Astyanax mexicanus: one gene and its partner. The protein of the gene in region 1 interacts with the protein of each later gene in a pairwise test. Links are inferred from orthologs where the notes say so. Each region holds a gene or a part of one and is shown on either strand. Other genes may lie near its edges.

What was found.
Region 2: the proteins of rad54b (region 1) and ribc2 interact in a two-hybrid assay, tested with the Homo sapiens proteins (2 studies listed by BioGRID and IntAct). The two-hybrid records come from large-scale screens. The link is inferred for Astyanax mexicanus from reciprocal best matches to the Homo sapiens genes RAD54B and RIBC2.

What each region holds. Positions count from the first base shown.
Region 1 is NC_064408.1:109,700,263-109,712,629, reverse strand, and holds the start of rad54b (DNA repair and recombination protein RAD54B), read right to left. Parts: upstream 5,505-12,367; 5' UTR 5,395-5,504; intron 5,352-5,394; exon of another isoform or gene 4,028-5,351; intron 3,720-4,027; 5' UTR 3,716-3,719; coding exon 3,605-3,715; intron 2,745-3,604; coding exon 2,700-2,744; intron 1,708-2,699; coding exon 1,479-1,707; intron 622-1,478; exon of another isoform or gene 1-621. UniProt on the Homo sapiens protein: Involved in DNA repair and mitotic recombination. May play an active role in recombination processes in concert with other members of the RAD52 epistasis group.
Region 2 is NC_064417.1:4,630,545-4,643,832, reverse strand, and holds the start of ribc2 (RIB43A-like with coiled-coils protein 2), read right to left. Parts: upstream 4,926-13,288; 5' UTR 4,840-4,925; coding exon 4,723-4,839; intron 4,029-4,722; coding exon 3,947-4,028; intron 3,359-3,946; coding exon 3,047-3,358; intron 2,551-3,046; coding exon 2,432-2,550; intron 2,302-2,431; coding exon 2,074-2,301; intron 1,029-2,073; coding exon 862-1,028; intron 1-861. Other genes in the region: probable polypeptide N-acetylgalactosaminyltransferase 8, read right to left, coding at 7,712-7,846, 8,610-8,777, 9,633-9,728, 9,918-10,055, 10,783-10,968, 11,057-11,171, 11,994-12,191, 12,985-13,168. UniProt on the Homo sapiens protein: Microtubule inner protein (MIP) part of the dynein-decorated doublet microtubules (DMTs) in cilia axoneme, which is required for motile cilia beating.

The DNA of each region.
Region 1 (12,367 bases):
GCTTTACTGATACTGGAGTGAATTAACATCATTATTGCAGCGTTTTTGATCAATCTGCGCTCTTTTTTCGCCTTATTACTGAATGTAGGAACGCTGGTTAGGGTTAAGACGACGGTTAAGAGAAGAGGACCGGGCTGGTCGGCTCGTTTTGGAGGATCTGACAGAAATTCGCTTCATAAAATTATTAACTAACACCACTGATCTCCACGAGTGAAGGAAAAACGCTATTTTGGTTGTAAGGTAACTTAATCAATTCAAATCCAGCTTTTATAAAAATCCAAAACTATGTGGATATCCCAGCTTATATCCCGCACCGTTATGCTAGCAATCACTTTTGAGCTGATGTTCTTAAGATAAAGTAGTTATCTTAGTTATTATAACCTAATATAAATAAGGCACATTGAAACAACGTTATTTTTTGTTGCATAACACCTTTTAAGACTGATGATGGAAAAACAACCTTAAATCAACCTTTTACCATTTAACATTGTCTAATAGGCATCAGATAGTGTTGAAATTATGACATTAAAATCAACGTTTATTTAAAGCTCTTCTACACTCACAATGCTTTTAGGTGAAAGACGTTTCCCTCAAATAATAATTATTATAGTAATACTAATAGTATTAGTATAAGTACAAACTTTAAGATTAGAATACTTACAATATACACATATTTAATATAAATTAACTTTTAATACGCTGAATCAAAGCAAAATTAATGTGCACAAATAAACTAATTCTAACGTTGGAGATGAACGTTGATTTAACAAATGTTTGCTCTCTGGGATGGGTAATTTGAGAATTGAATAATACCAAACATATTACATGTTCTGCTTAGTTTATTTCTTACCCAAGATACCCAGTTTTACAATCAACTTGAAAAATAGGTAATTTCAGAAAAAAAATATGTATATATTTTTTTATTAATTATTTATCATTTATGTTTGTCCCAGTGTACAGAACAGTTCTGTTTGTCCTACAATAAAAAAAACATAAAAAGATTTGTCCTTCACCCACTGATGTAAGTTCCCTTGTGAAATGTGAATACTTGCTGATTAAATCTCCCATTTAATCTTTAGTATGGTAAAATGGTGAAAATCCATAAAAGTCTGTCTTTAGGTGTACAGTGTGGAATCTAGGCAGCAAAGTATCATATCTACGTGCATAACAGTGTCCCTATAAAAATGCAACACAGCAAGAAATAAATACAATATCCCATCCAATTAATTGGATCAGTGGACTGGTCACTGAAAAGAGGCTTCTTCAAAATATGGAAGTATGAAAAACACTCTTTAAAGAGAATGAAAGGTTTCTCTCTTCAAGACTGCCATTTGGTTCCAACTCATCAACTCATTCAACTCAACTAGTCAAAAACAAACACCTACTTCTTTCCATCCACAAACAATAAACTCTTAATTAAAAGTGCTTTTTTGCTTGGTCTGTGAACTAAACTAAACAATAAACATACTGCATCTTACCAGCTGGAGAGGTTGTGTCTGTGTGCTTTTTAAGCTGATCCTGTCGGTTTGGTTTGGGAGACTCCAGGTGTTGTTCTGATTCCAGGGGGACCCTCTGTAATTCCGGGGCATTTTCTTTACTCTCGGTCGGGGTGACTGCACTTAGAACCTTGGCTAAGGCTTTACACACCCCAGAGACTTTGGGCACAGCTGGAACATCAACAGTCCTCTCAGACAAGCTTATCTGGACCTGCAAAGAAAAGGCATTTATTGTTTATTTTTTAGACTCAATCCGTATATTACTTGCAAATAGGCGATTAGGTTATAATACTGTCTTTAAACCCTCTTTTTCTCATACATCCAAGAAAAAGACAACTACATTAGGTTAATGCTATTTAATGATATAGATAGATAGTTATATCAGGAGCTAATTTAAAGATACATTTATAACAACAGTCTGCAGTCTACACAATCATCATCATCAGAAATCATACATTGTCAATTTGTGATCTTATTATTATAGTTTGGACTGAGTGTTCAGATGTTTGTAAGTGATGCAAAACAAAAAATGCAGTAACTTCACTGGTAGTGTTTTGTTAAAATTCAAAGGAATTTAAGATGTCTCATATCATTAAGTAATTTTACCTGAAAATTACATAGTTAAACAGAGGCAGTGGATTTTTAAAATGCAATGTAACAAGTGAATAAAGTGGGAAAAAGTGAAACAGATCAAAAAAGTGAAAAAAAAAATGTAGTATCACTTAAACTGTCAAAATAATTCTTGTTTAAAATAAAGGCTTTAATTGCACATTGTTGAACTCCAACTTTTTTTATCTTATATTTCAAGTACATGTACAAATATTTAATTTAAGGTAATTTTCTATTGTTTGATTCATCATAAAATTATGTTTTTACTGGTTTAACACTAGAAATAAAAAAGACTTTACCCTTTTTTACATGTGCAAGAAGATTATTAAAGGTGTTTAAAATGGTTTGGATTTATATTTCAAAATTCATCAAAACATGTCCTGTTTGCACAATACTTTTTATTTACTGGGAAAAAAAGGAAACAAAATGGTATACAGATTGTAAAGTGTAGCATTAAAGACCTAAACTACAACTTGGAAGTGAAATTAGTTACACTCTCGAGGTGTAAGTATGACATTTTTAAATGACAAAAGCCAATCAAACATTTGCTCCGATGACAGAGAATAAGTTATTTTAAAAAAAATAATTACTGACCTCAGGTGCAGGAACATGGCTCTCCACTCTCTGAGACTGGTGATGCTGTTGCAAGAAGTAAAAAACATGGATGGGGTATTATGGTATGTGGCTATTTTTGAAAAATTAAATACTCATTATTAATAACAAACATTTATATATGCTTAATTCTAAAATATATTGTTTAAAATAATTTTCTATGCTGCTTAGTTTAGAATATAAATTCAGTCTCAGATTTCATGCAAGTGCACATCAGGCCTCCAGACAAACTTTTTTCACAACTTTCCCAGATTTGCCTGAAGCGTTCTATCATGCTCTCCCACAAACTAATAATCATAATCATTCCCAAAATATATTTTTTGACATTACACTTTATTGTTGTATTCATTGTGTATTGTCGTTGTATTAATCTGCATATTATTCTACTGCCATAACATCTTTGGTTAGACTTCATCTTCTAGGCATCATCTCCTGGTGTTACCAGCAACCTGACTGGCTCTATGTTGAAATGTGGGAATGTATCTGTAAACAGATTCTGTGCTAAGTATTAGGAAAATTTCATATTTCAACCAGCCAGCAATCATCTAATAAACAGCTCAAATTTGCCTTTCCAAAAGAGCTGTCCATGGGACAGTGGATTGTGTTACTTTGGAGACCTGGTACATGCCTAGTGAAGTAAACTGGGTTAAAACAACATAAACCTGAAGTACACTGAAGTATACACTGAAGTATCCTGTCAAATCAGATGCTATGCACCTTTGAAATGCAATCCATGTAACAGAGTAAAAAAACGAACTAATTTACTATCAGCTCTTTACCTGACCACCTGGATTTTTTTGTCATGTAAAAGACATTACTGAACCCATATCAGCATTCATACACTGAGATAGCCTATCAACTTTTCCTAAAATCCTTAGTTAGCTTACCTTGTTAATTCCATTGCCCAGTACTCCAGTCTGTGAGGGGGCAGGAGGTATAAACCTCGGCCTCTTCACAGCATTGCCCTGAAGCTGACTGGGGGCTGCAGAGCGGCGCATAATGCTGAGATAAAACACATCAAAACTGTTAAGTTTGTGCCAAGTTTTAATGAATCAGTGATATTAAGAAGTCAGAATTAAGAGGTCTATTATTAATAATAGTGCTGTCAGGCGAGTAAAAAAAAAAATAATTAATTACTTGCCCTGTGAATATTAATCAAAATGAATCACATTTAAATTGCATTCATCATAAAAATATTTTAAACTGTACAGTTGAGTTGAATTTTAGCTGAGGAGCAAACAAATGAATAACTGGCATAGACGTAAAAAGCTCCCTGTGATGAACAAATGTAAATACTGTACATCTCTTACTGCACTAATCCAATTTGTTATAGATTGGTCAAGTTGGTTGTGGTGGTCATGCTGATATCACTGCTGTGCAGGGCTGCAACACAATTAGTTAATGGACATAATGGACAATACTGATTATTCAAAAAATGACGACTAATCGTTAATTTGACACTGCACTACACAAAGTGCTGGGGACAGAAACACAAATCACATTTAGCTTGGTCAACAAAAGTGGCAGACACAACAGATTACATAATGTCTTACTAAATATCAGAACAGCTGTTTAAGCAGATTTTTTTTGACAAATTGGAAAAAGAATATTTGTCAGATTAATCGACTACCAAAATAATCACTAGTTGAAACGCTAGTGCTGTGTCTAATCTACTTGTACCAGCACAACACATCACACAGTAACACATTACACAATAACACAACACACTATAACACATCACATCACACTATAATAGATCACACTATAATAGATCACACTATAACACACAATATCACATCACACAATATCACATAACAAAACATATCACACGATAACATAACACACTATAACACATCACATCACACCACACTATAATAGATCACACAATAACACATCACACAATGACATCACACTATAACACACAACAACAAATATCACATAACACATATCAACACATCACACGATAACATACAATATCACACATCATCACACTATAATAGATCACACATCCCACAATTTCATCACATCACACTATAACACTGCAGTGCTGAGACAGATCCAACACCTAAATTACAGGTTAGCTGCTCTGTGCATATCGCCCAGTCCTATCTGATGGACAACAGCTCTAAAATAGTGTGATGTGCAACAAAACATAATAAAAAAAGATGTCCACTGCAATGGATGCTAAAAGAGTCTAAAAGAGTTAAAGCCTTAATATTTGATATTAGCTAGCTATATGTACTCCTGACAGTAGAGTAACTTAAGTCACAAACCTATAATAAAGCCCAGTCATGCAAAAAACTATAAATAAATTATAATAAAAATACCGTGATAGACGGTGAAACTGTCAGAATCTTGAAGAATACCGTGATTTACATTTTTGGTCATACCGTCCAGCACTAGAATTAGCGAAGTTAAGAACTAACTAGCGAGAGTGTCAAGTGTCCTGTATGATGAGTGAGTGTATAAACTGGGAGGTGGTAACTTACAGGGGCAGCTAGGTTGCTAGCTAAACTGAAATTAGCTGCATTTTGTTGTTGTTGTTGTCAGATTGAGGAGCTAATGCTAGCTAAGATAACTACAGCTGTGAAATATATCTGTAAGAAGCAGTAAAACAGACAGCCGCTGTGAACAGCTGAAGTTTAATCGTTTTTAGATTAAAATATCGCTCACTTGCCTTTTATCGTGAAATCCTCCCGTATAAATACTACAAATGCTCAACTACAACTTCTCCGCTTACTTTAGCTCCTACCGCTGCTGGGAAACCTACACAGAGTTTCGCGCCGGGAAGACATAGCTCATCGCTGATTGGTCGAGCTTATGTTGCCAGGTCCAGCAAAACTCCTAAAAACTAACCCAACATCTATCTAATGTTGTCACAGACGTTGAAAGGAAAGAAAATGTAAATAGAAAAAAACTACTAGAACTCATTTAAAAAAGTGTACTACACTTAAAACCTCGCCTAGTAGCAAAGAACATTGAATAAACGTCAGCCTGTCACAATAAAAATAATTTGTGGACGATATACAGCTCTGGAAAAAATTAAGAGATCACTTCAGTTTCTCTGATTTCGCTATTTATAGGTATATGTTTAAGTAAAATGAACATTGTTGCTTTATTCTATAAACTACGGACAACATTTCTTCCAAATTCCAAAATATTGTAATTTAGATCATTTATTTGCAGAAAATGAGAAATGGCTGAAAAAAAAAATGCAGAGCTTTCAAACCTCAAATAATGCAAAGAAAACAAGTTTATATTCATAAAGTTTTAGAGTTCAGAAATCAATATTTGTTGGAATAACCCTGTTTTTTAATTATGGTTTTCATGCATCTTGGCATGTTCTCCTCCACCAGTCTTACACACTGCTTTTGGATAACTTTATGCCATTCCTGGTGAAAATTGTTTCAATATTTCGCTTGATTCAATTGCAGATGTTTTTTAATTTGGTAAAAGCAAAGAAACTAAGCATTTTTTTAGTAGTCTCTTTTTTTTTTTTACCGAAGTGTGTCTTCCCAGACATTTTTGTGATAAACAATATTAGACCATTAAATGTCACGGACATAGCAATAATAGAATAGCATAACACAACAATCATACTATTTTAAAGACACATTCTTTCTTTACTGCAGTCCACGCGAAGTGAATGTGTCACAGTTACTGAAGAATATTGGTCATTGCATGACTGGCTAAAATACTGTTCACTGTTATATACAGTGGTGAGAAAAAGTATTTGAAGCGTCATGATTTCTATTCATGTTTTTCACTCTATAATGTTTCAAATCATCAAACTAATTTAAATATTAGTCAAAGACAGAACAAGTGAACACAAAATACAGTTTTAAATGAAGTTTTTATTATTAAAGGAGTAAAACAATCCAATCCTACCTGACCCTTTGTGAAAAAGTGTTTGCCCCCTACATCTAATAACTGGTTATTCCACACTTAACAGCATTAACTGCAATCAAGCATTTGTGGTACCTTGCAGTGAGTCTTTCACAGTGCTGTGGAGGAATTTTGGTCCACTTTTCTTTACAGAATTGTTTTAATTTCACCACATTACAGGATTTTCTAACATGAACTGCCTTTTTTAAGTCATGTCACAGCATCTTAATAGGATTCAAGTCAAAACTTTGTTTTGCTTCAGCCATTCATAGGTGGACTTGCTGGTGTGTTTTGGATCACTGTCCTGCTGCAGAACCCAAGTTTGTTTAAGCTTGAGGTCACAAACAGATGAAAACCACAGTGATGGAAAAATCAACGATGATACAATGTCCTTTTGATATTTGGGTCTGTTAATCTTATTTTGTTTTTAAATTTAAACTCTAATTTATACATTTTTTTAAATATTTGGTTTATAATGTCATTATTGTTAGTATTGATTTTAGTTTATTATTAATAATAAGAATTAAAATGTTATATAATTATTTTACAAGGATTTTTTTTTTATAATAATTGCCGACACCTTGGCTATGGTCAGTGTTAATGAATCACCACATACAATATGTATCTATAGTTCCAGCAAAAGTGCTGTAATGATTTGTGAGTTTTTCTTGCTGTAGTTTATGATAATTACAGTTTTTTGTGTGATTGTTACTTCCTCTTATTAATAAATCTCTCTCTCTCTCTCTCTCTCTCTCTCTCTCTCTGTCTCTCTCTCTCTCTCTCTCTCTTTGGGTTTAGGATATTTTAAGGAACTTGTTTTTTTTGGTCCTAAATACTTTAATTTCTAAAAAGGAAAAAGTAGGGTTTTAAATATTATGGGATTAAAATGGCATGGGACAGCAAAGCTGGCAATTTGGTCCACAAGAAAAAACAAGATTCACGGCAGACTGATCCTGTCCTAATGGTGAAGGAACTGATTGTGAAACTTTAAATTAAAACTGATTATGACATTTTAAAAATATCCCCAGAAAACTGTGAATACCGGGAACTTGGCAACCCTTGGTCGAGCGCTGAACCGGTCCTGAAAGGGGCGGAGCGAACACAGTGTTTGTGAAGAGCAGAAACAGCATTAAAGTGTTCTGCATGCAGCATCTGAGAGGATACCAGTGTACTGGGGTCTAAATATGACAAGAAAAGACCTGGAATGTGAGGAATATTAAACCCGTGTGCAGGTAGGTGATGCATCTTTTGCATAGTCCTGCAATAAGTAGTGGTGATAGAAGTAAATAAATAAATAAATAGATAGATAAAAATAAATAAATACATAAATAAATAAGAATATATATATATGAGTATAAGTATGTGTATTGTGTGCATTTAAGCAGATACATAAAAATATATTGGTGTAATAGTGTAGTAATGCAACAGTGCAATACCCTACTGAACAATGCATTTATGTTTTGTGGTATAATGAGTGTCTGTTATGTGCACTGTGAATAAAGCAGTTGCATGCACATTAAAAATGCATGAGATCTGTAAATATGTGCAAAATCAAAATGTGAAGTTGATGCATGTAAAACAGTGGAGTCTACTACACTATATGTCTGATAATTTAACATCTGGCGTGTCTGTCTGAGAGGACACAGTTGACCGGTGCATGTTTAGAAATGCATGCATAAATCAGCTGTTGATGTCTGCTGCTGTGGCAGTGTTGCCATTGAGATTATAATCCAATCACAGTCCGGGAGGCTGTAATCCTTTGTAATCCCACCACAGCCACGAGGAGCAGAGATCATTCAGGAGATTGCAGTGAGAGTAACGGCACAGACAGACACACACACAACTGTCCTTAATAAACATGTCCTTCTCTGTTTCCCTTAAAAAACCTGTCCAGAGTGTCCACACACTGTCTTTAACTTTTCTTTAACTTTAATGAATGCCAGTCAGTGAACAGCTGCAACAGCTGCAGGTGGAGTATAACACTATAGATGACCTTTGGGCTGCAGGTTGACCTCTCGTGAGGATGACCTGGTGGTAATTAATGGTCACCTGAGTGGACACGTGCAGGATTAAATGTACAGCATGTATACCTTAAGATCCCACTCACGAGGAAGGGCCAAAGCAGAAGATCCTTCAAGGGAAATAATATAATAGAAATTCAGTATATGTAAACTATGTGTGTTTGAGGTCACAGTCATATATATATATATATATATATATATATATATATATATATATATATATATATATATATATATATATATATATATACGTATATATATACGTATATATATATATATATATATATATATATATATATATATATATATATATATATATATATATATACATAGCCCTTTGAAGACTCTATAATACTCTACTGTAAACTTATTAAATTGTTTAATACTGTTTTATCAAATGCTCTTACAGACATCAACCATCCATTTTAATTTGGCTTTTTAAAAGGCACTCTTTTAACTGCACTCGCCATGTCGGCTCAAAAGAATTCTTAAGATCATTTGTAAGGTACACGGCCAGTATAATGTTTCGCAGTTTAATTTTCTAAAGTATCAATCTAAATTAAAAAATAGAAAATTGAGTATAAAACGTAATTATTATTTTTTTCATTTAGTAGAGTGAAGAAGAACTTGGTTTTCATTCAATTTTTCAATTATATAGTTTTTCATTTCAGCCTTTGGCAAACAGAAAGAAAAAATGAAAAGGTGAATATTCCCTATAATAATATTTTCAGATTTATCTATTTATCTTGTTACAAAATACAGAAATGGAAAAAAAGCAGAAAATAAAGAAAATATATATTTTTTTAATTTTCCTGAAAATCCATTAATGAGGTGCAGAGATAATTGGAACTATAATAAACTATAAACTATAAACTAAATTATAAACTATAATTGGAAAAAATGAATGAAAACTTTCCCACCCACTATTTTTTGTAAACTGCACTACAACTCAAAATATCCATAGAAGCGAAATGCAATTAAAAATACCCAGCTCAATTTTCATGATGAATGGACCAATAGGAATGCTTAAAACTTATTTGAAATAAAATATTTGACATAGACTTCAATTAAATTGAGGGCAGTTATACATTATGTTGTTTCAGAACTGATACATTTACCAAAATGACTTGTATTTGAAATGTAGTGTATTTTCATCTAGCAAAAAAGAAAAAAGTATGTAAATGTGTGTTATGTCAGGCTCTCAAACCAATGGGAAGTTAAACGTGAATCTCTGTGTTTTTAAAAAAGTTGATCAGGTTTAATCAAGTAATCATTATAGCGATTTTTGTCATCTTGTTTTATACACTGGATTTCTCTTGGGGACGCTGGGAATTGTTTTTCAGGGAGTTGACTCGTCCCCTGTGTGTGTGTGTGTGTGTGTGTGTGTGTGTTGTGCAGGTGAAGGTAGTGGGTGTGGGGTGTTACCAGGACTACTGCAGCTACATGTGTTTATAGGAGACAGGGATTCCCAGAACAGCTCAGTGTGAGCCTATAAACATAATATTAAAATACATATTAAATGAAAACACCTTTAATATATATAAAAAAAATAGATTGCATAAACTTACCTAATTTTATTTAAAATGATCCAACTAATTGCTGCCGTGATACAGAGATCAATACACAATTCATTTTATTTAAAATGATCCAGCTAACTGCTGCTGCCATACAGAAATTAATACACAATGAGTTACATGCAAATATACATTAAATACACTACACACTTACAGGGGTGTAGAAAGTACAGATACATTACAATTAAATATTAATATGGATGCTGCATTAGAATCTAATTAAACATGGATGTATGCAGCTAGAATTAGTCTAGTTCTTTTTAATACGCCTATAATACTATGCATACTGTATATATATATATATATATATATATATATATATATATATATATATAAAAAGTAAATATTGTCAGTGTCATGCAAAAAAAAATTGTCTTGATTGCTTTTTTTTGGGGAAATTTATATCTGGAAGATGTATCAGAAGTCCATTATGAATTAAAATGAGTGAATCTTTTAATAGATAATTAAATTTACAGTTTTTAAAAATAAGGTTTTATTTCGTTTTTTGCATTAGATTTCTCCCATCATTTACTTTTTAAGAGTAAGATGCAAACAGTCTCTAATGTAACAGCGATATTATTGTACAGACAGAATAATGGTGGTTTAATTGTAAAGCTGACTCTCGGACGTGTGGAGTCTCAGTAGGTTGTACATTAGGTGAGGAATGGCCTCCTGTGAGAATAAGTTGATGTATTAAAAGGTAAGCTGACCTCACTGTCTCTAAGCTCCTCCTCCACTGAATTCTGACCCGGATAACCCTGTCCCCTGCCTCTCCATTCAACAGCTGCTGGTCCTGTAGTTCCCAGGGAAACCACCAAGCGTACCCTCCTCAACCACCATTGAAGAGCAGCAGTAGAGACAGACAGGTGTGCACCAGTTCTGACAGGTAAGAAGAGCTTTCTCATCATTTGAAAAAAAGGGTATTTTTATTCATAGGAATTGTTCTGTCAGTGTTTAGTACTACTTTGCATTATAGAACATGTAGTAAAGTGTTTTAAATAGCTATAAGCATTCTTGAGTAAGGGTTCAACTATATCGATTTTAGCATGTAAAAATTGATGGCTGTCTATTATAATACTGTTTAGTTGAGTACAATAATTTAACCTTTCCAATGAATTGCCCTTTCGTAACATACACAATAATATTGGCAACATTTTTGAATATTGTGAACAATATTATACCCTGAAATATTGTGTCATGTCACCCACCCCTAATTATCACACCAGCGTACTACTTTTGTGCTGTTTTTAGCAAAAGTAAATTCACACTGTTCTCATTTCCCATTATATATCTACTAGAGACAGATTATATCTGTCCAGTATCATTTATTTTACTTTAATCCTGAATATATGGAGAGTATTATTAGTATTATGATATTCTGGATCATTGACTTTTGTTATAAATCTGATAATAATTATTGTATTTTTTATATCTCAGTTAGGGATGTGCCATATCATTGATTTTTTTTTTTTTTTTGCAGTAGTGTATTCTTAAAATATATTTTTTTAATTCAGTCTTTTGTTATATTGCTAGTAGTATCGTTATTGCGACAATACCATGAAATATTATGAAATTATTAATATACTGTATAAAATCTTTTCTTCGTTTTGAGAAGAAACATTTTATTTCATTCACAAAGGCACTTCAAGTAACATAACATATAAAATAAAATAAAGAAAAAAATTATTTCTACAAAAATGGAAAAATGTTCAATATATTTTTATTTATTTAAACTAATAAAATATAAAACATAAATTATCAATATAATTTTTTTATGATTTTTGCAGGGAAATGAAGTGAACATAGCATCTGCAGATTTTTTTTTTGTTTTATTATTTTGTTTTAAAAGTAGCATAAAATAACTAACATATGAGAGTGATTCTATTAGTTTTTGAAGTTGTGTGGCATCCAGTGGCTCAGCGCACACTGTATTGTTGGTTGTTAGAATGGGTTCCACTAGGTATCAGAAATGACTGGAAACTTTAACTGTCAGTCAAGAAAGTGAAGCTGAGAAGAAGCTGGAATTTAGGACACAACAGCACACTGATCCAAAGCATACCTCAAACAATCAGGTCAAAGGAATGTTACAAATAATTAACTTAATATGGTATACAGACTTATGTGCATGTCAAAGTTTCTGTGCTTTTTTTGTGAATTTTTAAGGTGAACT
Region 2 (13,288 bases), on another chromosome or scaffold:
CCCCCTCATGATCAGCTGAATACATGCATTTGTTGACAAGCGGAAAGATACAGAAGCAGCATCTGATGTGAGAGAATCACGTGGGCTGAGGCAGTAGAGTAATACTTTAGTAATAGGATTGTGCAGCTTCACCAAAGTTACAATGTGCAGTAGCAGCATTTTAAAACCAGAATGGGAATGACTGCTGCTAATATAATGTTGCTTTAAAGGAGAACTCCGGTGTGAAATTGATGTTTGGTGTAGTAAAGCATGATAAAGAGTACCTACCTTTGTTGAATAGCCCACCTCCGCTCTCCTGCAGCTTTCCGGGATCCAATATTTTTTTTACAGTTCGTGCAAACATGCTTTAGAATGGATGATATGGGGCATATGTTGCCCCTGCAGATAAATCGCTTTTTACACCATTATCCAGCTCAAAGCTCAAAGCTCCGGATTCTACCAAGGAGGTGTGGAGCTACTTTGAGCTTGGATAACGGTGTAAAAAGCGATCTCTTTGGGCAAAATATGACCCAATACGGCTGGGCAAAAGACACAAAATTCTCAGTTGTATCTCAGAAAGCTGTAGGAGAGCTGTGGTGGGCTATTTAACAAAGGATAGTTACTTTTTATCATGTTTTATTATTACTACCAAGGTAAATTTTACACCAGAGTTCTCCTTTAACCAGACACTGTAAGCATCCAGTTCAGAACTGTGCAATAGGAAAGAAAGATTTAAATTTGGACTTAGATATCTGAACAAAAACTGACAATATTTATAATGTTGTAATAAATTTATGAGATGAAAGACCGTCTACAGCTGGGTCAGCCTTGAGTTGTCTACAGCATTGTTTAGAGTAAAGTGTGTGTGTGTGAGTTACTCACTGTGCATGCTGGGCCTGGGCTAGCAGAGCGTTGGTGTTATCCAGAGATCTGCGAAGCTCCTTGCTGATGCGCGCCTGCTGTCTCTCCAGCAGCAGAGCAGCTCGAGCTGAAGCCAAACGCTCACGATCCTGCTGCAGATCCTCCTCCTGCTGCTCCAGACGAACACGCTAAAACACACACACAAACGACTGTCAGACAAAATTAAAGACACTTCAAGAGTTTCTCTGAGTGATGCCAGCAGCACTGCAGTGTCTGATCCACTCAGACCAGCACAACACACACTAAAGCCCTATCCGGACGGGATTAGTTTCTCCGGGGGACTTCTACTCAGTGATAAAACTCTTGCATCCGAACTGCAATTGAAAAAACGGGAGGACCAGTGAGTTTTTAGGCTTTCTTGGTCACATGACATCACGTTCAGTAGCTCCTCCATTTCCACTTGCTGTTGTGTTTACATGGATCTCTTTGGAAACGCGCGCCCAAAGTGTAATTATGGTGCGTGGCAGTGGGCAGTGGACAAATAGCTATTTTATTAAACACTTGGTGACGAAACTCAGAGATGTGCGTCCGGACAGGACTAAAATTACTGGAAGACCACGGAGTTCAGCGAAAAACAGTAGGTAATTTAGCCTGTAGTTTTCAGAGGACATCAAAGGTCATTCCAGAAGGGAATAAAATCACAGAAGACCCCCCCATAAAAGAGAAAATTTCCCCAGGACCCCCTGAGAAACTAATCCTGTCCGAATAGGGCTTAACACATCTTATACCACCATGTCAGTGCAGTCTCTGCAGTGCTAAAAATAATAACCCAACACCCAAATATAGTATGAAAAACAATTGTAGAGACAAGAAGGTTGTTATAATATTCTGACCGGGTTGTGTATAAATGTATATACAGTGTGTTATTGTATTATTATTAATATCTACTTTTGATATATTTATTTAATTTTAATATGTGCTTATATATTATATAATTTGTATGACTATTTACTATTATATTTAGCAACTATACTGTTATTCTGCGTTATAATTATTATTGTTATTATTATTTTTATTATTATTATAGGCACTTTCTTCGCCTCACTTCTTGTTTTGTACTGTAAAGATGTCAGTAATTTTGCGCTTCCACTATTTGTGTGTGTGTGTGTGTGTGTGTGCGTGATTTAACCATAAATACATTCTAATTTGATCCTAAAGGTACTCGTGACTCACCCTCCTGTCCTCGGCTTGCTGCTTCTGGTAGTTGCTGTAGTGCAGTAGCTGCTGGGGGGTCATGCCCTTATAGCAGTCCCTGCGCAGTCTGGGACGTCCAGGCACTCGGCTGCTCTGCTCGATGCTCTCGTTCAGCAGTTCCCCCTGCAGCTGGTTCAGGATCTCCACCTGGTTGTTCTCCTCTTCCTCTCGGCGTTGCCTCTCTCTCTGTTCAGATCTTTCGGCAGCCTGTAGATAATGACCGACTGAATGATTTTAGGGCTTATACTTAAATGCGTATACTGACAATTACAGTAGCAATGATTTAGAACTTTCTGTAAACTTGGCTTCTTACTTAAAGTTACAACACTGGACTCACCAGAGCTAGATTGAAGTTCTTGATGGCGATGGTATTGGCTCTCTTGTGCTCTTCCTCCATCTTTTGCAGCTCGACAGCTCTGCTGTCCAGAGCTACTCGGCTTTGGTCATACTGTAGATCTGTTGAAGACGGCAGATGATCAGCGTTATTTTGTTTTTTATATAAATTAATTTACATTGTTTTCCATTTTCTCCCAATTTAGCTAGGCCAATTATGCTACCCATTTAGCTTCTACTCAGTTCTACTCATCCCTCTGACACATTTTTAGTCAGCCACCGCCTCTTTTTTAACTGAACTGCCGAGTAGCATCACAGAGTGCTTAGAAAAAAAGCGCAGCGACTCTATTATGACACATCAGCTCACAGATGCCTTGTGCTGACTGATATCACCCCAAGAGTGATGAGGGGAAATAGAGCCATCTACACACCCAAACAGTGCAAGGTCAATTGTGCTCTCTCAGGGCTCTGGCAGCTGATGGCAAGCTGCATGAACAGGATTCGAACCTGTGATCTCACGATCATAGAGTCAGCGCTTTAGACCACTGGGCCACAAATACAGATAACTGTATTTTGTGCTAAAGTGCCCCTAGCACAGTTCAACATGGTGTAGCTCTACCTTCTTGTTTCTGCTGCTCTTCTGTCTGCTCCAGCTCTTGCTGCTGCTGGATGGACCAGTCCCTCAGCTGCTCTCTCTGCCGCTGTGCTCTGTCTCTGCTGGCTAGATCCTCCCCAGCCAACCCAGGCAAAATGCGCACACCGTCCTGCTTCTTCAGGAACTCAGAGTCGTTCAGGTCGAACTCCCGTCTGCTGCTGGGATGCTGGAAACGACTCCGGAACTGCACAATGGCCTCTTCCAGCAGACGTTCATCTTTCTTCTGCCTGTGCTCCAGTACGCATGCTGTCTGGTCACTGCGTATGAGCTTATCCACTTTTGGGACAAAGAAAGATAAAACAGAAAGATCAGACAAAGGTTTGCATTTTTTTGCTAATGAATCAATTGTTTGTCTGTTCTAACATCTATTATTAAATACATTACCACACAAAACATGTGTGGACATCTCTTCTAATGTATGCATTCACGTACATTTTTATAGATGACTTGCTGACACAGATAAAAATGAACTTTAACCTGTCAGGTGTGGGCTAAAGGGGTATAAAGCCCTGAAAAATTGAGCTATTAAGCAGTGAAACTCTCTTTTATTTTTTATATTTTTTACCACCCTTAATTCCAGAAAAAAACATCTATGAATGAGCAGCTGTGCCAATACTTTCATGATCAGATATAGTATAAGATATGACACAAGAGTATTTTGTGTGGTTTCTTTATTTTTGGTTTATTTTGGTCTACAATAATATATTTATATAAAATAAAATAATAACGACACATTCCTGTGAAGCTGAAAAAAGACAAATCAGAATAAAATGAATCTGCAGTATTTTTAAATAAACAAGTAATAATTATTACATAAAATAAAGTTAATTAAGCAAATCTTTAAAAGCTTTACCAAAATCTTACCATATTCCTTTAGCGCTCTTGCCTCAGCTTGTTCTTTATCCCTTCTTTCCTTCACTTGAAGTTCAAGAGCTTCCTTATCAACCTAGTGCAAGACAACAAAATTTTACATAAATGTTAAAGCTTATAAAATATTATTAGGTTTATCACTGGTTTTCTTATGATGACTCTTCCATGAAGGCCATATTTGTGAAGGTGTTGCGGAACAGTAGAACACATTACCTTTAACTCCAGAGTCTGCTAAATCTTACAGAAGGTCTTTTTCAGTCAAGAAGAGCTTCTGATTTGCCTTTCTAGCAATCCCAAGAGCGCCTGTTCCTGAAATTTCTTTTGGTCTTGTAAACTATATCTTAATCTCCATTGTTCCTGTTAACTGACACTTCTCAATGTTAACCTGAAAATGCTTAAAACTCGATATATTGTAAGACAATTCTCTATGATACTTTACGGAATACTTCTAAATACTTATACTCAGAACTTTACCTATGAAGTGTGGAGCTACTTTGAGTTTGAGTTTACTGGTTTTAGCTTCGGCTAAAAGCGCTGTTTTTCAGAATGCTGGGCTGAACAGAGGTGGGCTATTCGACAAAAGTGTGTACTCATTATCATGTTTCACTGCACCCCAAGTCCATTTTTACACCAGACTTCTCCTTTAACTACATGATAACTATATAAACACGATAATTACATTATCAACTTAACATGCAATAAATAGACATGATCTCATATATATTTCATAATTATCATCACATAACCGGGGAACTAAAGCTCAGACTTACTCCGATTGTTCGCAGTTTGGCGTTAAAAACCCGCTCTTTCCGCAGGAGTTCCCGGGTTTGTCTCTGGTCCAGGTGAGCGGCTGAGAGGCGGTCTGATGGGAGCTGGACGGGGTTCATGTCTGCGGGCGGCGGTTCAGCTCAGCTCCGCTATTCAGCTCCGTCCGTCCGCACAGCAGCAGCAGCAGCAGCACTGTAAACACTGCGTTACTAAGCAACCCAGATAAAAACCGCACGCGACCCCTGCCTTTCCTTATTTATATATACAGCTCTGTAACAAAATAAGAGACCACTTCCGTTTCTGAATCATTTTCTCTAATTTTGCTATTTATAGGTTTATGTTTGAGTAAAATGAATATTGTTGTTTTATTCTATAAACTACAGACAATATTTCTCCCAAATTCCAAATAAAAATATTGTCATGTAGAGCATTTATTTTCAGATAATGAGAAATGGCTGAAATAACAAAAAAAGATGCAGAGCTTTCAGACCTCAAATAATGCAGAGAAGTTTTAACAGTTCAAAAATCAATCAATATTTGTTGGAATAACCCTGGTTTTTAATCAGTTTTCATGCATCTTGGCATCATGTTCTCCTCCACCAGTCTTACACATTGCTTTCGGATAACTTTACGCTACTCCTGGTGCAAAAATTCAAGCAGTTTAGATTGATTTGATGGCTTGTGATCATCAATCCTTATATCCTCTTGATAATATTCCAGAGGTTTTCAATTGGGTAAAATAAAAAAAATCATCTTCAATTCATCTCTAAAAAGGAAAAAAAAAACATGTATTTGTATAATGTAAAGTAGTTATTGTAAAAATACAGTAAAAAAAATAGAGATAAATTATGGAATTTAGAAATATATAATGGTCTAATTTCATCACGTTTAAACATATATATACACCGTTTAGACCAGCATGAATGTTTCGTTAAAGTGGAGTGAAGGTCTAATTTACACTAGACTGAATAACTCTTTCTCTCTATTTTCCTTTTTCTGCTGACACTTATTTTTACTGCTCTGTGCTGTAGAAGATCCTGCAAACTAGAGATTCTCCACCGGGGGCGCCACTACTACTCAACTAGCTCTGTGTGATTATGAATCTTAATAAAACCATTAGATGGTATAACTGCTTTATCATATTATATGATAACGAGTTTATTAAATCGTAGCCATTAAGGCATGGCCAAAAGGTCATTTTGTTTCACAGCTAACAGAGCAAGCAGCTCTCAGGGGTTGTCAAAAGAATTCAACTAAATCAAAATCAGCTGTCAAAATTAACACTGATGCCACTGATTGTCTAGATAGAGTCTCTTACCTCCCAGGCGCTGACCCATCGTTCTGTTCATACCACTCTGGTCTGAAGGACTCGTACATACACCACAGCTGCCAGTCAAAAGCATGGGCAAACGTTTCATATTTAATCACATCCAGGGTGGCACATTCCACTCTATCAAACACTGGAGACAGCACCACGGTCCTGATTCTTGCCAAAAGTGGTTCTGCCCTAAAAGCACATTAGACCAAAAGTTAAATTCTGATTATAAAAATGTAACACAAGCAGCATAGCTGTTTTTGTTTCATTCAAAGTCAAAGTCAAAGTGTTTTTTATTGTCATTTCAGCTATATACAGAGTACACCAGGGACCATGGTGCACATAAACACAGTGTAGACAGAACAAAAAGTGCAACAGTACAAAAGTGCAGACAGACAATACAACACACAGACAAAGAATAATAAATATCAAGACAGTGTGCAAATTATGCAGTGTGCAAAAAAGACCAGTGAGGTAGTAATTACCTCTATTACGCAGTGTGCAATAGAGTCCAGTGAGGACTTTTAAAAACAGCTGTGAATACATTACCATAAACCACGCCCTAATAATTAAATTATTTATAATAAATTATTAATTATTAATTAATAAATAAATCCATCCATAAATCTATCCAGTTTCGACCACACGAGGATGGTTTCTTCTGTGGAGTCTTGGTTCCTCTCTAAATGATTTTTTTGCCAGTGTAATTTCTGGCTTGATCACTAGGGGGATCCATAGCCCATCTTTCTAAAGCTGCTTTATTGCACTTTATTGCAGATCTTCTTGAGAACAGATTTTCTGCAGGTTTTCACTCCAGCCCAAATCAAACCCAATTATTCAATCAAGGGATTTTAAAGACAGTCTTTATTTGGGTCAGAAGGGGTTGGATCTGAAGTGTGATGTGTGAAGGCAGCTCTTCAGGAGCAGGGATAGAGGGAACTGTTACAGAATCAAATCTCAACAAAAATAACTCTCTAAACATTTTAAGATGTTTTTTTTAAACCTTTATTTTTCCTTTTTTTCTTATATGTTCATTTCATTTGTACAATTTGATACTTGATTAACATAACATATGTAATTAGATTTCTAATAAATTATTAATTTGGAAAAGAAATGTTTAGTAAACTATACATTTAGTGCACTATTACAACTTACAGCAGACTATCGTTACCTGCCATCAAGTGAAAATGCCCAGCTAGCTCAAATATCATTTTCAAAAAGTTTAGAAAGAAATTCAGGGTGAATATACAGCACCAAAAAGTTCAAAAGTTTGGACACACCTTCTTATTCAATTTCAATATTAAATTTAAAATGGAAAACATTTTCATTCATAAAAAGAAAGAAAACACTTTGAATGAGAAGAGGTAAACATTCAAATAACACTTTATTCTTTCCACGCCCAACACTAAATACATTTTTTCCTCTAGGGAATTCAATTTCAATAAAACATAAGTAAACCCTTCAAAAATACCAATGTTCAGTAACTCAACACAGTTCTGTAAAACTGTTCACATGTACACAACAGTAAATCCCATTCTGTGCAAAAATAACAGCAATAATGGGAATATATTTTGCGATTATATTGTGCTATTAAACCATCAAAAATATCACTGATAAGTTAGACGAATAGGAGACATTTGAAAATTAGATTTTTTTTTTGGGCTCTTTTAAGATTGCTAAGCATTTTGTATCAAATGTTGTATTGTCCAGTGTTGTCCAGTGCAGTCCTGAATTATAAGATGGTAATATGAATCAGCTCCTTGGGCGATCTCAAGACACCTTTTTGTGTCTCTGTTTTTGATTGCCTGACCCTGTAGGTAAAGCAAAGAGAGATAATTAAATAGACATTGATTAAAATTCATTAATATTAAATCTTAGTACTTAAAACATCAAGTACACATATAAATACATAAATGAATCATTTTAAGATTTATGGATAATTTTCGAGGCAGTTTGGAAGGCTAATTACACAACCCTTTTTCCTATAAGCTCTCGCTCTCACTGGCAATGCCCCAACACATCTCTGGGTAGCCAAAATGCTACACACACATCACACTAGGGGTGAGAAAAGAAATGAACTCAAACTAAGCCCTGAGAGAGCTAGACTGATTGCACACTTTTAGATTCTTTTCTAATGGCAAGCAGCAAGATCCAGGATTCAAACCAGCGATCTCCTCAGATCATTGTGTCAAAGTCTTATAAGTACATTATGAAATTATTTGGAGAAAAATGAATAAAATGTATAGACTTTTTCGCACTATAAGGCGCCCTGTCAATAAACGTCTATTTTTTGGTCTATTTTCTTACACAAGGCACAATAGATTATAAGGCAATCAGGGATAATTATCAGGGATGTCCTGCTATGGGTGGCAAATATGTAACAGGGCTGGACTTTAAATCTAAATCCTGTTTGCTTTCTTCAACTTTCCTTGGCTTTAGGATGGCCCTTTAATATAAAAGTGCTCCATCTTTATTCCTGTTTCACTCAGCAGGTTAATGTTTGGCCACTTAACCAAATTCCACTAATTTACAAAGCTTCCTGTCATCAGTTAACCCGTTCAGCAGAGTACATACCTGTTTAAAGTCCCAGTGCATGTGTAACCCTTTCTCCTTGGCTATTTTGCAGTCATGCAGTCCCGGTGTGTGTCCTTCCCCAGGATCCACCAGACAACGATTATTATTGTACTTGTGGGATTTGATGCCTCCAATGTAAATCTCCCCTCTACGCCTGTAGTAACAGCTCTGTATAAAAAATGCATATATGAAATTCCGATTAATCAAGTAGTTAATAAAAAAACATGAGTTTAATCCTATGTGAAAAATTGGGGGACAAGTGGGAGAGTGTACCCTTGTGGTACAGGTATTTCTTCTTCTTATGACACAAATATTTGATGTCTTCAATAAGAGAAGGAAAATCCTTTTAACTTTCAGTGGAAAGTCAGTAAATGAAGATTTTTTAAGCATTTTTCTTGGTCTGTTGTATTGGAAAATTGGAAAACTGCCAGATTCACACTATGCCCAAACATAAAAATCTGAAAATTTGAAGTATCAAGGTTTTTGTGCAACAGGGACAATTTTCCATGTGAGAATACTTTGAAGTGGCAATAAAAAACTAAGTATTGATCAAATGCTGTAAAGTAAGCTGTCAGACAGTTTGACAAAGTCTGGAAGCCCATTCCAGCCAGATAAAAGAGAAATAATAATAAAATTAAAATCTTGTTAGACAATTTTTTTTGTCTGAAAGTGTTAAACTCAAGTTTATTCTAATATCTTAAAAAAATAACTGAATATCCAATGTGACTGCAAATGGGCCAAATGCTAAAACAGAAAAACACACACAAGTTGTCCTTTCTCAGTAACCCAAACATCCACCCAGAGCAACTCCTTAGATGTTACTCGAAAATGTCCTTACAGTATATTCACTCTCTTTTAAAAGTTAATTAATCAAACCAAATAATACAAATAAATATGTCAGATGTACAAATGTAATTTTGCCATGCCAATTTCCATGATATATTTCTTTTCATACAAATTATGCAAATTAAAAGACTCTTCAGTCCTCATTAACTGTCTAAATTTTTTAATCAAAGTGCATACCTGTGGGCCATAGAAATGGCATTGATACAGAATAGGAACACTCCCAGGAACAGGTCCCTGATCAATGCAGTTTTTCTCTGATAAGTCATTCCGCAACTGTAAAAGGTCAAAAACAGAAAATCACTTAAGTCTACTGGCTGGAAGTGCAATTCTTAATGAATTAGATTTATTATGCTAGTTCCTACAGAAGCTAAATCATGATGTACATTTTATTATGCAACCAGAGGCATCATTCCTAAAATACCTTTAATACGTAAATTAGAGTAGAAAATAAAATTTCCTTACAGCACCGTAACCAACGAGATCCTCCCAGGTGTCAAGCTGAGGATACACATTGTCCATGTACCATTTGAAAGGCTTGCAATTGAGTCTCTCTCTCAGCTTCTTTCTCTCCGTTACGTCCCCAATATCAATTCCATGATCCTAAAAAAAGGGACAGTTGTATTATTCTGAGGTAACACAGCAGTGTCTATGTTACAGATAAGGTTTTATTATATAAATTAAATAATCAATCAATCATTTTGTTTAACCAGTCCCTCACCACACACTCTAAGAGCTCATACAGTAGTGAGTATACCCCTCACACTTCTGCAGATATTTTATTATATATATTTTCATAGGACAACTTTTTAGAAATTAACTTGTCACATCACACAGACATTAATGTGTATTTGTCCATGTTCAATTGTGCCCAAAGTGTTGATATTTAGTGTGACCACCATTATCTGCCTTAATCCTTTTGGGCATAGAATTCATGGAGTGGCATAGGTTACAGCTGAAAACCTCTTCCAACTCCTGATGATCTATAAAGCTGTTGTTTGTTAGACACCTTGCACTCTTTCACCTTCTTCTTAACTGGGTTTAGTCACAATACGTGTTGAAATTTAGGTCCCCGGTGACGGCAGCACTCATGCAGCTCCAGAATATGATGCTACCGCCACCATGCTTTACTGTAAGCAAGGAACAATTGTCTTGTTACTCCTTAACCAATGCATCACCATGCATGCTGGACACCATCTGAGCCAAACCAGCTAAAAAAAAACCTCATAAACACACTCCTAAACCTTGTGGAAAGCCTTCCTATAAGATTTTAAGTTGTTAGAGCTGAAAGTCATATTAAACCTTAAAGATTAATAATAGGATTACACACCTTCAAGGGGAGATTCCAGCTAATAAGAACATTTCTTTTATATTCATCCATCCAGACTTCAGCCACCCTTAACGCATTTCTTTTCAGTGGTATGCTCAGATCTCGTGCATACGGCTTATGCGCTCTCTCTATGTGGGCGATCTTGGAGCATGGGATAATTTCAATGCTTCCTCCACAGGTCCAAACCTAAAACAGAGCATAGACCAGACTAAATATAGTGTCGCAGCGTGTAACATTGTTGTACTGCGGTGAAAAGAGACAAGTAACAACCTACTCGTATTCCCAGTTCAACGTTCTCTCCACCATAAACTAGCATTCCTTCATCCAGTACTCCAATTTCTCCCAGGAATTTCCGATCAGCCACGAGGATTCCCATGACGGATGGACTCCTACAAAATATTGACATGTGTTAATGAGCTGGTCAGGGTTATTAACCATCAACACACAGAACTACTTGAGTACAACAAACTAATTTAACCATCTAAAACACTAAAAATGCACTAAAAAAGATTTTATTAAGAATTTATTTTATTATTTCAATTTCCCCCATTTTCTCCCAATTCATCTGTCTAATTGTCACACCCATTCAACTGCAGCTACATATCCCCTATCACTAGTGATGCCACAAGTCAGCAGCTGCCTCTTTTTGAACTGCTGCTGATGCCAAGTCGCAGCACGGTGCACTCAGAGGAAAGTGTAGTGTCTCGGTTCTGATACATCAGTTCACAGATGTCTTGTGCTGATCGACATCACCCTATAAGTGATGACTTCACATGTATCGGAGTAGGCATGTGTTATTCTTCACCCTCCTGGTGTTGTGGCATCACTAGTGATAGGGAGAGTCCTAATGAGTGGGTTGGGTAATTGACCATATAAAGTGGGGAGAAAATAGTAAAAACTTAGAAGGAAAAAAAAAACCTGTTGACACTGTTGACATTATTTGTACGAACCTCTATACCTCAAATAAAACGAAGGTGACCAGGCAAAACACAAGAATTGTTGGTTCAATGGAAATGGAAAATGCAAGAAACATCTTTTTATTTATTTGTGTTTTCCATATTGTCCCAACTTTTTTTCTGATTTGGGATTGTACAAACAGATAACTGAGGTAACTTTTGTTAGCTATGTTAACTTGCAGTTTGTATGTTAACTCCAGTATACAAGATTTTTAGATAGATTTCTGATGTAAGGTGATGCCAAGTGTGACTTACTTCCCAGGAGCGCTATCGTCCTTCAGTTCATACCACTCTGGCCTGAAGGACTCGTACATACACCAAAGCTGCCAGTCAAAAGCATGGGCAGATGTTCCATATTTAATCACCTCTAGGGTGTCGTAGTCCACTCTATCAAACACTGGAGACAGCACCACCGTCCTGTCATCTTTGATTCTTGCCAGTAGTGGTTCTGCCCTGAAAGAACAGTAGACCAAAAATTAAACTCTGACTAGTACTGACTAATAGTTCTATGGGCAGTTTGGCCCAATCCCAATTCACCCCTTGGCCCTACCATTTAGTCCTAAGTAGAGTTAGGGCTACATGGCTCTTCAAATTGAGCTTTTTCAAAGACATACTTAAAACAGAGGAATGAAAAGAAGAAACTGACTAACTTGAGTATTTTTCATGTTAAAAAAATATTATAACAACTATATTACTACTGTTTAAAGCCTAGTTTCAATGTATTATGAGTTTTTTCTTCATAACAAGCACAAACGAGTCTCAATAACTAGACAAACCAGCTTGCTTACTTTCTCATTCCTTCTTCAATGGTGCCACAGATGGCAAAGGCAGCAGCATTTAAGGTAGAATGGAAAAATAAATTAAAATAAAAGCTAATAAAAGCTAATTTCAGCTCCACATCACAGAGGGAGAAATTAAGGAATGGACAGTAATAATTAATTGCAGCACCACTTGCCCTCTTTCTGAAGACATATAACACCCTAAAGTTAATTAGTTAACCAGCAGCTAATTTACTGAACTTTAGCTTGTAACTTTGTGCCTATAGGGGAAGGGTTACACTCTGAAAAAGAAACTGCATTGGGCCTTTATCTTTACGTGCTACCAGTGGGGGCATATTATATCACCAGAGATAAGATTAAAAGCATATCATACCAATGGCCTTCTTCTGTATCAGAATGATATTGGTAAACAGTAATGGAGAAGATGTGTTAGATGTGTGTTGAAGAATTGAAGAATGTTCCTTTACCATTTTGTATGCACCTCAATGTGGGCATCCAGAATGGCCACAACATCACCAACAGCAGCCTCCCATCCTGACATGCGTGCATGTGAAAGACCCAGACGCTCTTTGTGTATCACTTTCTTAACAACACCAGGCCTTTCTTTATGGATTAAGTCAATATATTCATCCAGCTTCTCCTTGAGGTCCTCTGAGAAGAGAAAACTACAGATTAAAACAGATATTTTTCAGACCATTTATACCTCAGATTGAACGTATCATTGTTCATCCAATTCTTGTTATTGATCCTTTTTTTTCATCTATTCTTTTC